Linked DNA regions of Canis lupus familiaris. The protein of the gene in region 1 interacts with the protein of each later gene in a biochemical or structural test. Links are inferred from orthologs where the notes say so. Each region holds a gene or a part of one and is shown in the gene's direction. Other genes may lie near its edges.

Evidence for each region.
Region 2: the proteins of EIF4G1 (region 1) and EIF4A1 form a complex in vitro, tested with the Homo sapiens proteins (3 studies listed by IntAct, with this or other methods). The link is inferred for Canis lupus familiaris from reciprocal best matches to the Homo sapiens genes EIF4G1 and EIF4A1.

Annotation. Positions count from the first base shown.
Region 1 is NC_049255.1:17,362,602-17,368,312, forward strand, and holds the start of EIF4G1 (eukaryotic translation initiation factor 4 gamma 1), read left to right. Parts: upstream 1-2,025; 5' UTR 2,026-2,171; intron 2,172-2,991; 5' UTR 2,992-3,048; intron 3,049-3,271; 5' UTR 3,272-3,305; coding exon 3,306-3,365; intron 3,366-3,603; exon of another isoform or gene 3,604-3,663; coding exon 3,664-3,750; intron 3,751-4,256; coding exon 4,257-4,277; intron 4,278-4,859; coding exon 4,860-5,036; intron 5,037-5,261; coding exon 5,262-5,361; intron 5,362-5,711.
Region 2 is NC_049226.1:32,705,249-32,710,627, forward strand, and holds the end of EIF4A1 (eukaryotic initiation factor 4A-I), read left to right. Parts: intron 1-19; coding exon 20-159; intron 160-471; exon of another isoform or gene 472-616; intron 617-1,430; coding exon 1,431-1,599; intron 1,600-1,706; exon of another isoform or gene 1,707-1,844; intron 1,845-1,938; coding exon 1,939-2,048; intron 2,049-2,276; coding exon 2,277-2,420; intron 2,421-2,501; coding exon 2,502-2,639; intron 2,640-2,736; coding exon 2,737-2,826; intron 2,827-2,863; exon of another isoform or gene 2,864-3,004; intron 3,005-3,073; coding exon 3,074-3,153; intron 3,154-3,251; coding exon 3,252-3,396; 3' UTR 3,397-3,904; downstream 3,905-5,379. Other genes in the region: CD68 (macrosialin), read left to right, coding at 4,533-4,581, 4,658-5,100, 5,246-5,365. UniProt on the Homo sapiens protein: ATP-dependent RNA helicase which is a subunit of the eIF4F complex involved in cap recognition and is required for mRNA binding to ribosome.

The DNA of each region.
Region 1 (5,711 bases):
CAGTATCAGTGGAGACCACTGAATAAGAGCAGGGAAGTCACATCAGTTATCTGGGTAAGGAAGCTCACCATGGAGTCTGGGAGACCAGGCAAAGGAAACAGATACCTGAACTAGTGCATTAGAAATGGGGAAGGGCAGAAGAAAGATTTTTTTAAAGATAAAATTAAAAAAAAAAAAGTAAAATCAATAGGACTTGAATTTGATGCAAATACCAAGAGGACCTAGTGACTGATTAGAGGTAGTACATGGATGGGAAGGAATGTAGGATGAATCCTAGGTTTTCAGGTTGGGCACTACTCATTAAAAAAGAATACAGGGGGATGCCTGGGTAGCTCAGTGGTTGAGCATCTGCCTTCGGCTCAGGGTGTGATCCTGGGGTCCTGGGATTGAGTCCCACATTGGGCCCCCTACAAGGAGCCTGATTCTCCCTCTATGTCTCTGCCTCTCTCTGTGAATCTCTGATAAATAAATAAATAAAATCTTAAAAAAGAATACATGGGCACTAACATGTACAAAGTTGCAGTGAAGGACCGTTGAGTAAGGAGAGATGACAGGTTCCTGTGTGGGCATACACAACTTGAGATGCCGGTGGGATGATCCGGTGGAGTGGTACCTTGTTGTAACTGGAGTTCGAGAGATAGGTTTCAGGTTAGGAACAGATTGGCAGGTGGGCAGTAATTGATTTTTATATATTAGCTTGCTTAGGGAGAAAGAAATGAGAAGAGTAGTCACAGAATGAAGAGTCAGAGAACGCTAGATCTGCATTTTCACTCACTATGATTCCTCCTGCATGAATTTATTTTGCTGTCCTTTGGAGCTCCAGGTCCTCATATACAGCGGTAAGAACAACACAATTTTTAAGAGATTTTATTTATTCACTCATGAGAGTGAATAATTCACTCATGCCTCTCTCTCTCTCTCTGTCTCTTGTGAATAAATAAGAGGCAGAGACACAGGCAGAGGGAGAAGCAGGCTCCCTGCAAGGAACCCGATGTGGGATTCGATCCCAGGACAGGAGGATCACCGCCTGAGCCAAAGGCAGACACTCAACCACTGAGCCACTCAGGTGCTCCAATGCAATCTGTTTTTATAGAAAATTGTGAAGATTGAGATCACATAGGTCATATATATTAATTGACCACATTATCATTGGTACAGAGAAAATGTTTTCTTCTGAGATTGTATGTGTGCACATACACACATGCACACCCACAGATCGTGCACAAGAGTGTCTTTGCCACGTATGTAAGCACATAGGCACCGTTTCGAGCCCTTTTCACATAAATTAACTCTAATCTTCACAATCCAATAGTGTGGATGTTATTGTGAGAGAAAGCACCGCGGTTAAAAGCTCGGACTTGAGCCAGACTGCCTGGTTTCCAGCCTTCCCATTTTACAAGAATAGGTAATAGTAGGTAGTAAGTGACCTGGCCAGGAAGTAGGGTTTGGATTAAAACCTCGGATATCTGAGTACCTGGATTTGGCTCTAGGGCGATTCCTCCGGGTGCCAAAAGTCTTTTGGCTGCAGGGCAGGAATTTTGGGATTACTTCTTCCTTCGTTATTCTGAATTTTCCGTGACTGACTTCTGTCCCTCCCTGGGAGTGGCTGATCTCTGTAAAGCAAAAGATCGACTCTTAACTAGTTCCTTAAAATGTTTCAATCCTTTTTAGCCTCGCATTCAACTTAGTAAGTATTTCAATCGCTTTATTTTCAAAGGCTGCCCAGTGTGTACTTCTTTGCGCATTTGTATCGTGACTTATTTAGGCAGGACCGAGTAACAAATCTCGGCATTCTCAGCACGCCCTCCCTCCCCCGCCAGCACCTCGCCTGGTACTTAGCATGCACTCAATAAATGCCCGTTCAAAGAATGAATGAACTAAAAGAACCGCGGAATAGAGACGCAGAGGGGGGTCGGTCTGGAAGTTCCAAAGTTCGGGAGGGGACAAGGGGGCGGGCAGCGGCTGTCACGTGACGGGGCTGGGCGAGCGGGCCGTACTCCGCGGCGCCGGGCGCGGCTCCGCCCCCTGCGCCGGTCACGTGGGGGCGCCGGCTGCGCCTGCGGAGAAGCGGTGGCCGCCGAGCGGGATCTGTGCGGGGAGCCGGAAATGGTTGTGGACTACGTCTGTGCGGCTGCGTGGGGCTCGGCCGCGCGGACTGAAGGAGACTGAAGGTAAAGCCGCCATGTCCGGGCCCGACCCGGCCCCCCCACCCCCTCCCCCCGCATCCGCCGCCATCCGGGCCGGGACCGGCCACCCTGCGCCGCCGCCCCGGCGCCCTGGCCCCGCGGCCCAAGCCCGGGCCCCGGCCCGCCAGGGCCCGATCCCTGGCCCACGTGTGCCCGGCCTGGCCCGGCCTGGCTGCTGGGTGGGGGTGGGGGAGCGCGGGGCCGGAATGTGCGGTCCCCGCGGGCTGCTGGGGCGCCGGGTTCGCCGGCCGCGAGGTGCCACCCCGGCCTGACCCGAGGGGGCCCCGCGGGCGCAGGCACCGCGGCTCCCGGCCCACCGCCCCCTCCCCCCTTTGCGGCCCGGCCGCCGGGAAGTGACACGTTGTTCTTTGGCACTGGCCGGCGCTGCGCAGGGAGGGCGCAGGGGAGGGAGGCGGCAGCGGCGGGCAGGGAGGAGCCCCCGGCCCCGCCCGCCCTCCGGGCCGACCCTCGCTTGCTAGGAACCGGCTTCTCTTCGGCCGCCGCCCGCCTGGCCTTTTAGGGCCCGACTCCCGCCCTTCCTGGCCTCCAGTCCTGGGCGGCGGCAGGCCTCGCGACCGGCCCCGTGCGGGCGCCCCCGCGGCCACCCGCAGCAGGCGTGCCTTGTGTGCCCCCGGGCCTGGCCCCGAACCCGGTGTCCCCAGGTGGGGGGTGGGGACACCACGGCCGAAGCTGCTAGCTCCGTTTGTGATCCGGGAGCCTGGTGCCAGCGAGACCTGGAATTTCCGGTCTGGTTGGTCTTGGGCCCCGCGGAGCCAGGTTGATACCCCTCACCTCCCAACCCCAGGCCCTCGGATGCCCAGAACCTGTAGGCCGCACCGTGGACTTATTCTTAACCGAGGGGGTGAGTGAGGGGGCTGTTTGAGCAGACCAGGGGGGTGGTTGGAGGTGATGCGGGTTTGACAACGTGTTGGTGGGGACGTAAGCTGGATCTTTTCTGCTCCTTCACCCCGGTCGCACCTCCGAGACTCGGTGTGGGACCCAGCCCTTGGTTCAACCCTTCCCCCACTCCGCTTGCCTTCAGCTTGGGTCCCTTCCCCTTTCCGAGCTCCACTCTTTCCCAACAGGTGCTGGGGGGACCCTGATGTGGCACCAAATGAAATGAACAAAGCTCCACAGCCCACAGGCCCCCCACCTGCCCCATCCCCTGGACTCCCACAGGTAATTAGGGAGGAATTAGCAGAGACTGGGGTGGGGGTGGGGGAGATCAGGCAGCTGGTCAGGAACAGGTTCCAACCTCTGGATTTTCCCACCCCCATCTGTGTCAGGGCAAAGTGCAGCTTCCTGCTGCCAAATTGAGACAGGGCCCCTGGGCTGTTCCCAGGGGCTGTCATGGGGAAGAGGGGGCATGTGGACTGCTGAAGCTCTTGCCACAGGTCTGCTCCCCTTACTTTACCAGCTTAGGTTTCTGCCCCACCCGGGTTTCCCCTCTTGCTGAACTCTGGTCTCCCCCCTTCAGCCTGCGTTTCCCCCGGGGCAGACAGCACCGGTGGTGTTCAGTACGCCACAAGCGACACAAATGAACACGCCTTCTCAGCCCCGCCAGGTGAGGGGCTCTGGGGAGGGGAGTAGGGGGCCTGGGTGGGAGCCATGGAAAGGTTAGGCCAGTTCGGGCCGAGGATGGAAACTGTGGAGGCCCTGTACCTGCCCCAATTTCCTGACAGTTGCTCTGTGTTCTTTCATGCGGCTCTGCACTTTGTGCTGTTGATTACTTACGGTGGCTGGCCCCTTGGGGAGTATGTAGTCGGTGGGGGTGGCATTACTAGGGGTCCTGGTGCCTTGAGAATTGGGAGCAGCGCTTCGGGCCCTGCTGCCAACTCCTGTTCCTATTTCCTCCTTTTCCTGGGAGGTTGTGATTGCTCCGCTCCGCTCCCCTTCCCTTCTTTCTCTTTGGACTGTGGCGAGATAAACACTCCATCTGGTTCTTGCCTTTCTCTGTTCCCTAAATTCTTCCTCACTAAGTGGGGACATTCTTGTCCTACTTCCTTCATTGTTTTCTCTCTCATCACCTTGGGGATAATTCTCTTCTCTCCTGTCCCCATGTGCTCTCAGGGAGGATTCAGGTCTCTGCAGGTAATACCCCTTTGCTAATTCTGGACCCTCTCACGGTCTCACCCTTCACCTCTACCCTAGTCAAGGGCTAGACACAGGGACTGGGGGGTCTTCAGGGTGGGGACATGTTTGCTGTTAAGGTTCTCAGTCTGACACTGACTGATGCATGCTAGAGGCTAGATCTTGCAGATTGCAAATCTGGGAACTGGGAGACTGTTGCATGTTAGTGGTTAGCTCCTCTGTACCTTAGGGTGGAGCAATGCATGCTGGGGAGTATGTTGCTCAAAAGGGCTTTACTTGGGCATGATGCATCTGGGTGTTAGGAAGCCTTTGCAGAGGGGTAGCCTGGTAGAGGTGACATGAGTATTCACGGTAGTGAGGGAGTAAATATTCGTGGAGTGCAAAGCGCATACCTCAGTGTGGAGGGTATGTGTGAGTACAAGAGGCCACCTAACCATCAGTTTGGTTAAGTGGGTGAGGATTGGCCCCCGTGCTCCAAAGCCCCCAGTATTTTTCTCCAGACTAGAGACATGGCGGAGTGGCCATTTTGGATGTCCACTTCCTCCCTTTCCCAACGCCAACTGCCTTCCTCCCTCTTGACAGCACTTCTACCCTAGCCGGGCCCAGCCCCCGAGCAGTGCAGCCACCCGAGTGCAGAGTGCAGCCCCCGCCCGCCCTGGCCCAGCTGCCCATGTCTACCCTGCTGGATCCCAAGTAATGATGATCCCTTCCCAGATCTCCTACTCAGCCTCCCAAGGGGCCTACTACATCCCTGGACAGGTGAGGTTGGAGGCTTGGGGGCTGGAAGCCATGGAACCTTTAAACCTCAATCCTCCTCTCCCTTTACCCTGATCCTCCAGTCCCATCTCTTCTCCAGAGGTGGGACTTCTTCTGGTCATTGCCCACAGTTGGCTTGTCCTGTCTTGCTCTGCATTCTCTTTGGCCTGATAGGGTACTCATAGCTCCCTCAACTCCTCTCCCCTCCTCTTCCCCCTTCCCCACCAGGGGCGTTCCACATATGTTGTCCCGACACAGCAGTATCCTGTACAGCCAGGAGCCCCAGGCTTCTATCCGAGTGCAAGCCCTACAGAGTTTGGGACTTACGGTAAGCAGGGGAAGGAGTCAGGTGAGAGTGAGTCCCAGGGAGCACCTAAACTCACCTACAAATTCCTAGATCCTTCCTAGCCTTATTTCTTGATCTAAAAATGATAGGGTTAGTAGGTAGTAGAGATTGGTGCTTAATATATAACTGGTGTTGGGTGCGTAGGGGGGGTGGAGCAGGGAGCATTTTATCCTATTGATGAGAGTTGGAATTCCTTGCCATGCCAAAGAATATAGGATCAGATACAAGTTTGAGGGGCCTGTTAATAAACATTCCCAGTGACACTTGTTCCGTGGTTGGTGGGAGCCCATGTAACGTGAATTTGGGAAGTTTTTGTAGCTGTTTTTCATTTA
Region 2 (5,379 bases), on another chromosome or scaffold:
TTTTTCTCGATCTATTTAGGTTATGATGTGATCGCTCAAGCCCAATCTGGGACTGGGAAAACAGCCACTTTTGCCATATCGATTCTGCAACAAATTGAATTGGATCTAAAGGCTACACAGGCCTTGGTCCTGGCACCCACTAGGGAGTTGGCTCAGCAGGTGAGTATGTAGGCTTTTTTGTTCCTCCCCTGAAGGACTGCTTTAGAAATGTGGTCCTTAAAAAAAGCATAGATGTGTGTTCCTCAGGACCACTATCTATTTAAGAACTGAATGGTTGGGGGGGTGGGGACTGTGTAAAGAAATAAGTTGAGGACTTCCGGATGTTTGAGAGCTTGTTAGGATTAATTACGAGGTCTTTCCTACCCAAACACAATAAGCATTATTTTCTCCACCCATTTCCTGAGTCAAATGAAAAGGTTGCAAGGTGGAGCCTGGCTGGCTGGGCAAGTTTGGTGGCTGTTTTATGAACAAACCCCCTGGCAATGGGCAAAGAGACACCTTGGTGGTGGTGGTGCTCTTATATCAGCCAGGGGCAAAGCAGACGGGCAGTCCTGTGTTCATCCTAGCTTGATGCCTGGATTGGTGGCCAGAGCTGTTTCATGCCTAGGGCACATAAAATTTTAATGAGACCTTTCTTGGGTCTTGGTGGAGAAAGGGTCAGAAATGCTAGTCTCATAAGTAGGATATTAGTTTTATGGTGAGTTTAGGATGATTCTATGCTTATCGGTGAATTGAGGTAAGGTACTGTAAGTGAAGAGTTCTGGAAGAATTCAGTAGGGCCTTAATGTATGTGCAGAACATGCTCTTTTAAAAAAAGCGAACGGGGATCCCTGGGTGGCGCAGCGGTTTGGCGCCTGCCTTTGGCCCAGGGCGCGATCCTGGAGACCCGGGATCGAATCCCACATCGGACTCCCGGTGCATGGAGCCTGCTTCTCGCTCTGCTTCTCTCTCTCTCTCTCTCTCTGTGACTATCATGAATAAATAAATAAAAAAAAAAATCTTAAAAAAATAAAAAATAAAAAAAATAAAAAAAGCGAACGTGTCACCTAGCACAGGTTCTGTGGCAGGAGTTCAGTAGGACACGGGTAGATGGCCTTCCATTCATAAAACTAGTTGGAGTGAGATCAAATCAATGGGTCGTCATGGCTTTTAGAAAGGGCTGTTAGTGTGAATCCTTGTATTCTTAGGAGCCAGACCAAGCTCAAATCCTGAGCCTGCCACTTACTGGCAGTGTGATCTTAAGTGAAGTATCTGCCTGTTTCTTGTCTGAAAAGTGAGTTTAATGGTGCACGTCTGAGTTGGAGAGAACACTAGAAGCATTTTATTTATTTATTTACTTACTTATTTTTTATTTTACTAGAAGCATCTTAAACGGGACCTGCCTTGATCATAGCTCATAATTGGGTACATTTTTTTTTTTCTGAGTCCAGATACAGAAGGTAGTCATGGCATTAGGAGATTACATGGGTGCTTCCTGCCATGCCTGCATTGGGGGGACCAATGTACGTGCTGAGGTGCAGAAGCTTCAGATGGAGGCTCCTCATATCATCGTGGGCACCCCGGGTCGTGTGTTTGACATGCTGAACCGGAGATACCTATGTGAGTCTGGCTGTCCTCTTTAACCCTCCCACTCGTGCCTTCCCCCCCCCCCCCCCCCCTTCGCAGTGTCCTCCTCTGACGGGCTAGCATGCACCTGGGAAAGAGTTGCTCTGTGATGAGCCCATGCGTGTCATCTGAGCCTGGCTTCCCCGTCCTCAGCCCCGGGGAGTGTTCTACTTCCCTGGCCTGTCAGCTGGCCTCGTGTGGGAGTCTTGGCAAAGGATCAGCCTTCGTATCCTGAGAGCAGATCTCTTGTTCCTTAGTGTTCTCGATCAGGAACTTGAAGTTTGGTTTCCTGGTTCCCTCACTACTGTCCATTGGGGTTTTCTCCTCTTGTAGCTCCCAAATATATCAAGATGTTTGTACTGGACGAAGCTGATGAGATGTTAAGCCGTGGATTCAAGGACCAGATCTATGACATATTCCAAAAGCTCAACAGCAACACCCAGGTGAGAAAGGGGTTCACAGACTCTAGTGGGCGGTCAAGGTTTCCTTTGTAGGTGGCTGTGTGGTGGGGGTCACAGCAGCAGCACATGCTGCAGGAGCCACAAAGAATCCGGGGGCCTCAAGCCTTTTCATGCCCTAGCTTCTGCATTAGGCGACAACTTACTTGCTTGCTAGGGGAGGGGGGGCCAGCCTGGAGGATCCCCTACCCCAAGGCTGCTCTTTCCCATTAGGTGGTTTTGCTGTCTGCCACGATGCCTTCTGACGTGCTTGAGGTGACCAAGAAGTTCATGAGGGACCCCATTCGGATTCTGGTCAAGAAAGAAGAGTTGACCCTCGAGGGCATCCGCCAGTTCTACATCAACGTGGAGCGAGAGGTGGGGCCCGGTGCAGGGGGGGGCTTGCCTGGCTGTACATCCCTGGGTAGAGCCCCTCACTGATCTCCTTCCCCCTCCCAGGAGTGGAAGCTGGACACGCTGTGTGACTTGTACGAGACTCTGACCATCACACAGGCAGTCATTTTCATCAACACCCGAAGGAAGGTGGATTGGCTCACCGAGAAGATGCACGCCCGAGACTTCACCGTGTCTGCCATGGTGCGTTCTCTCCCTTGTTCCCCGTAGTGCCCGTGTGCCTGGGCCTCCGAGCCTGTGCGCCTGTGACACGCGCCCTCCCCTCTGGTCCCCACTATAGCACGGAGACATGGACCAGAAGGAGCGAGATGTTATCATGAGGGAGTTCCGCTCGGGCTCTAGCAGAGTACTGATTACCACTGACTTGCTGGTGAGTAGGGAATGGAGAACCCTGGGAAGGAGGGAGGACCCAAGCTGATTCCCTCTCCAGGGGGCTTGCTTGTGCCCCCCTCAGGAAAGTAGCAACTTGGAATAAAATGTGACATGCCTCAGGGTGCTGGGAAGAGGGGCTGCTGTTTCCTTTGCCTTCCCTTTGGCTGCCTACACACACAGCGGTCCCTGCTACGCGCACTGGTCCCCCACCCTTCCTCCTGCTGACCTGTCCTCTCCCGACCCAGGCCAGAGGCATCGATGTGCAGCAGGTGTCTCTAGTCATCAACTATGACCTTCCTACCAACAGGGAAAACTATATCCACAGGTAAGTGCAGATCTAAAATGTTCCCTCCCCCAGCCCTGAGCTCAGGCTCTGTCCTGCCCCCATCCTGAGCCAGACTGAACCTGTCCTATTCTCACCAGAATCGGCCGTGGTGGACGATTTGGCCGGAAGGGTGTGGCTATTAACATGGTGACAGAAGAAGACAAGAGGACTCTTCGAGACATCGAGACTTTCTACAACACCTCCATTGAGGAAATGCCCCTCAATGTTGCTGACCTCATCTGAGGGGTGGTCCTGCTACCTAGCCTGACCCTGGCCTCAGTCTGGGGGGGGCAGAAGAGCAGGAGGGGGGAGGGAAGGGAGCCAAGGGATGGACATCTTGTCATTTTTTTCCTTTTTTTTTTCTTTGAATAAATGTCACTTTTTGAGGCAAAAGAAGGAACGTGAACATTTTAGACACCCTTTTCTTTGGGGCAGGCTCTTGCTCCAGGCGCCGTCTCTTCTCCCAAAAACACTAATCCATCTCCGTAACCTAGTCAACCTCCAAACCCCAGAGGCTCTCCCCCACCCCAGCTACGTGCCTCTTCAGAGGCTGCCAGGGGCCATAGTGTCACTCAACCTCATTTGCTGGACCAAATCTGGAGAATCCCAGAGTTAAATGGCCCAGAGGATTGTCCCCAGGTGGGGGGGAGCAGGGGAGAAAAAGTGGTAGCCATTTTTACATTGTTTTGTATAGTATTTATTGATTCAGAAAACAAACACAAAATTCTGAATAAAATGACTTGGAAACTGCCTGTTTGGGCTTCTCATTTCTTGCCTCCCCTTCCCTCCCACCTGTGTCCCAGGGCCTCCCTGGCTGGGGCCACCACTCCACCCCCAGTTCATAGTCCCTCAAGTTTCCCTTGGGTTTCCTTTTTTTGTTATCCTCTCCCTGCTGACCCGCTAGTGGGGTAGCATTTGTTGGCTAGTGACCCACTCTAAAGGCCAAGACGCAAGCACCATCATAAGTGCCTCACATGTTCTGTCAAGAGGAAGTGACAAATGGAAAAGAGGGAATAGAAACACTTAACCCCTAGAACTGGAGGACATAAGCAAGGGGTGGGGTGCTGTTCCCCGCTGGTTCTGTAACCCCTCCGGCCCACCAAACAGGCTGAAGTAGACAAGTAGGTCCGCAAGGACCAACTGTCCCCAAACTCCGCATCTACCTGTGATATTGAGGCTGGTGACCCATCCCCTCACTTGGTGACGGGTTCAATGACTAAGTGATTGGTGGCTGGGGCTGAGGTGCCTGAGTCAGGCTGGGGGTGGACTGGGCTGCCACAGGAAGTCAGACACTTAATTCCTCTTCCAAAAGAAGGCAGAGGCTACAGGCTGGTGTTGAACACACCGTCCCGCACCGACTGGGGTGAGGCCGATCGGTTATGAGGCCAGCCGTGTTTTTCTTGGGGGCCTTGGTGGGGCTGCTAGCAGGTAAGGGGGGGCCCGAGGGGAAGGGGCTCAGGGGGACACTGCCCCATTGCTAACCAACCCTCCCCTCTGCTCCAAGCCCAGGGGACCCGGAGCGACTGTCCCCATAAAAAGTCGGCCACCCTGCTGCCCTCCTTCACGGTGACCCCTACGGCTACAGAGAGCACAGGAAGCCCTGGGACCACCAGCCACAGCACCACCACCGCGGAGACCACCAGCCATGCGCCCAACACCACCACTCACCAGGCCCCGACAACCCCGGGGCACAGAAACACCACCATTCACCCAACCACGAGCAACAGCACAAGCAACACCACGGGCACCACGGGCACCGGCAAACCCCACACCTCCACCAGCTACACCCAGCCGGGGCCAGGGCCAAGGCCACCACCTCCCAGTCCCGGCCCTGGCCCCCAGGACGCCATAGGAGACTACACTTGGACTACGGGTTCCCAGCCCTGCGCCCGGCTCCAAGCCCGGATTCAGATCGGGGTTGTGTACCCAACCCAGGCCGGAGGCCAGGTAGAGCCACCCGTGGGGGCAGGGGTGAGGTCGCTCACCGCACTGCAGAAGGAAGAAGAGAGAAGGGGGCACGCAGGGAGGGGATGGAGGAAACAGGGAACCCCGGGCGGCTGCAGCCTTCAAAACCTCTTTTTAACCGCTACAGGCCTGGGGCATCTCGGTGCTGAACCCCAACAGTACCAAGCCCTGGGGGGACTGTGACGGGGCCCGCCCCCATCTGCTTCTCTCCTTCCCTTTCGGGCAGCTCAGCTTCGGGTTCACACAGGTACCTCCCCACCC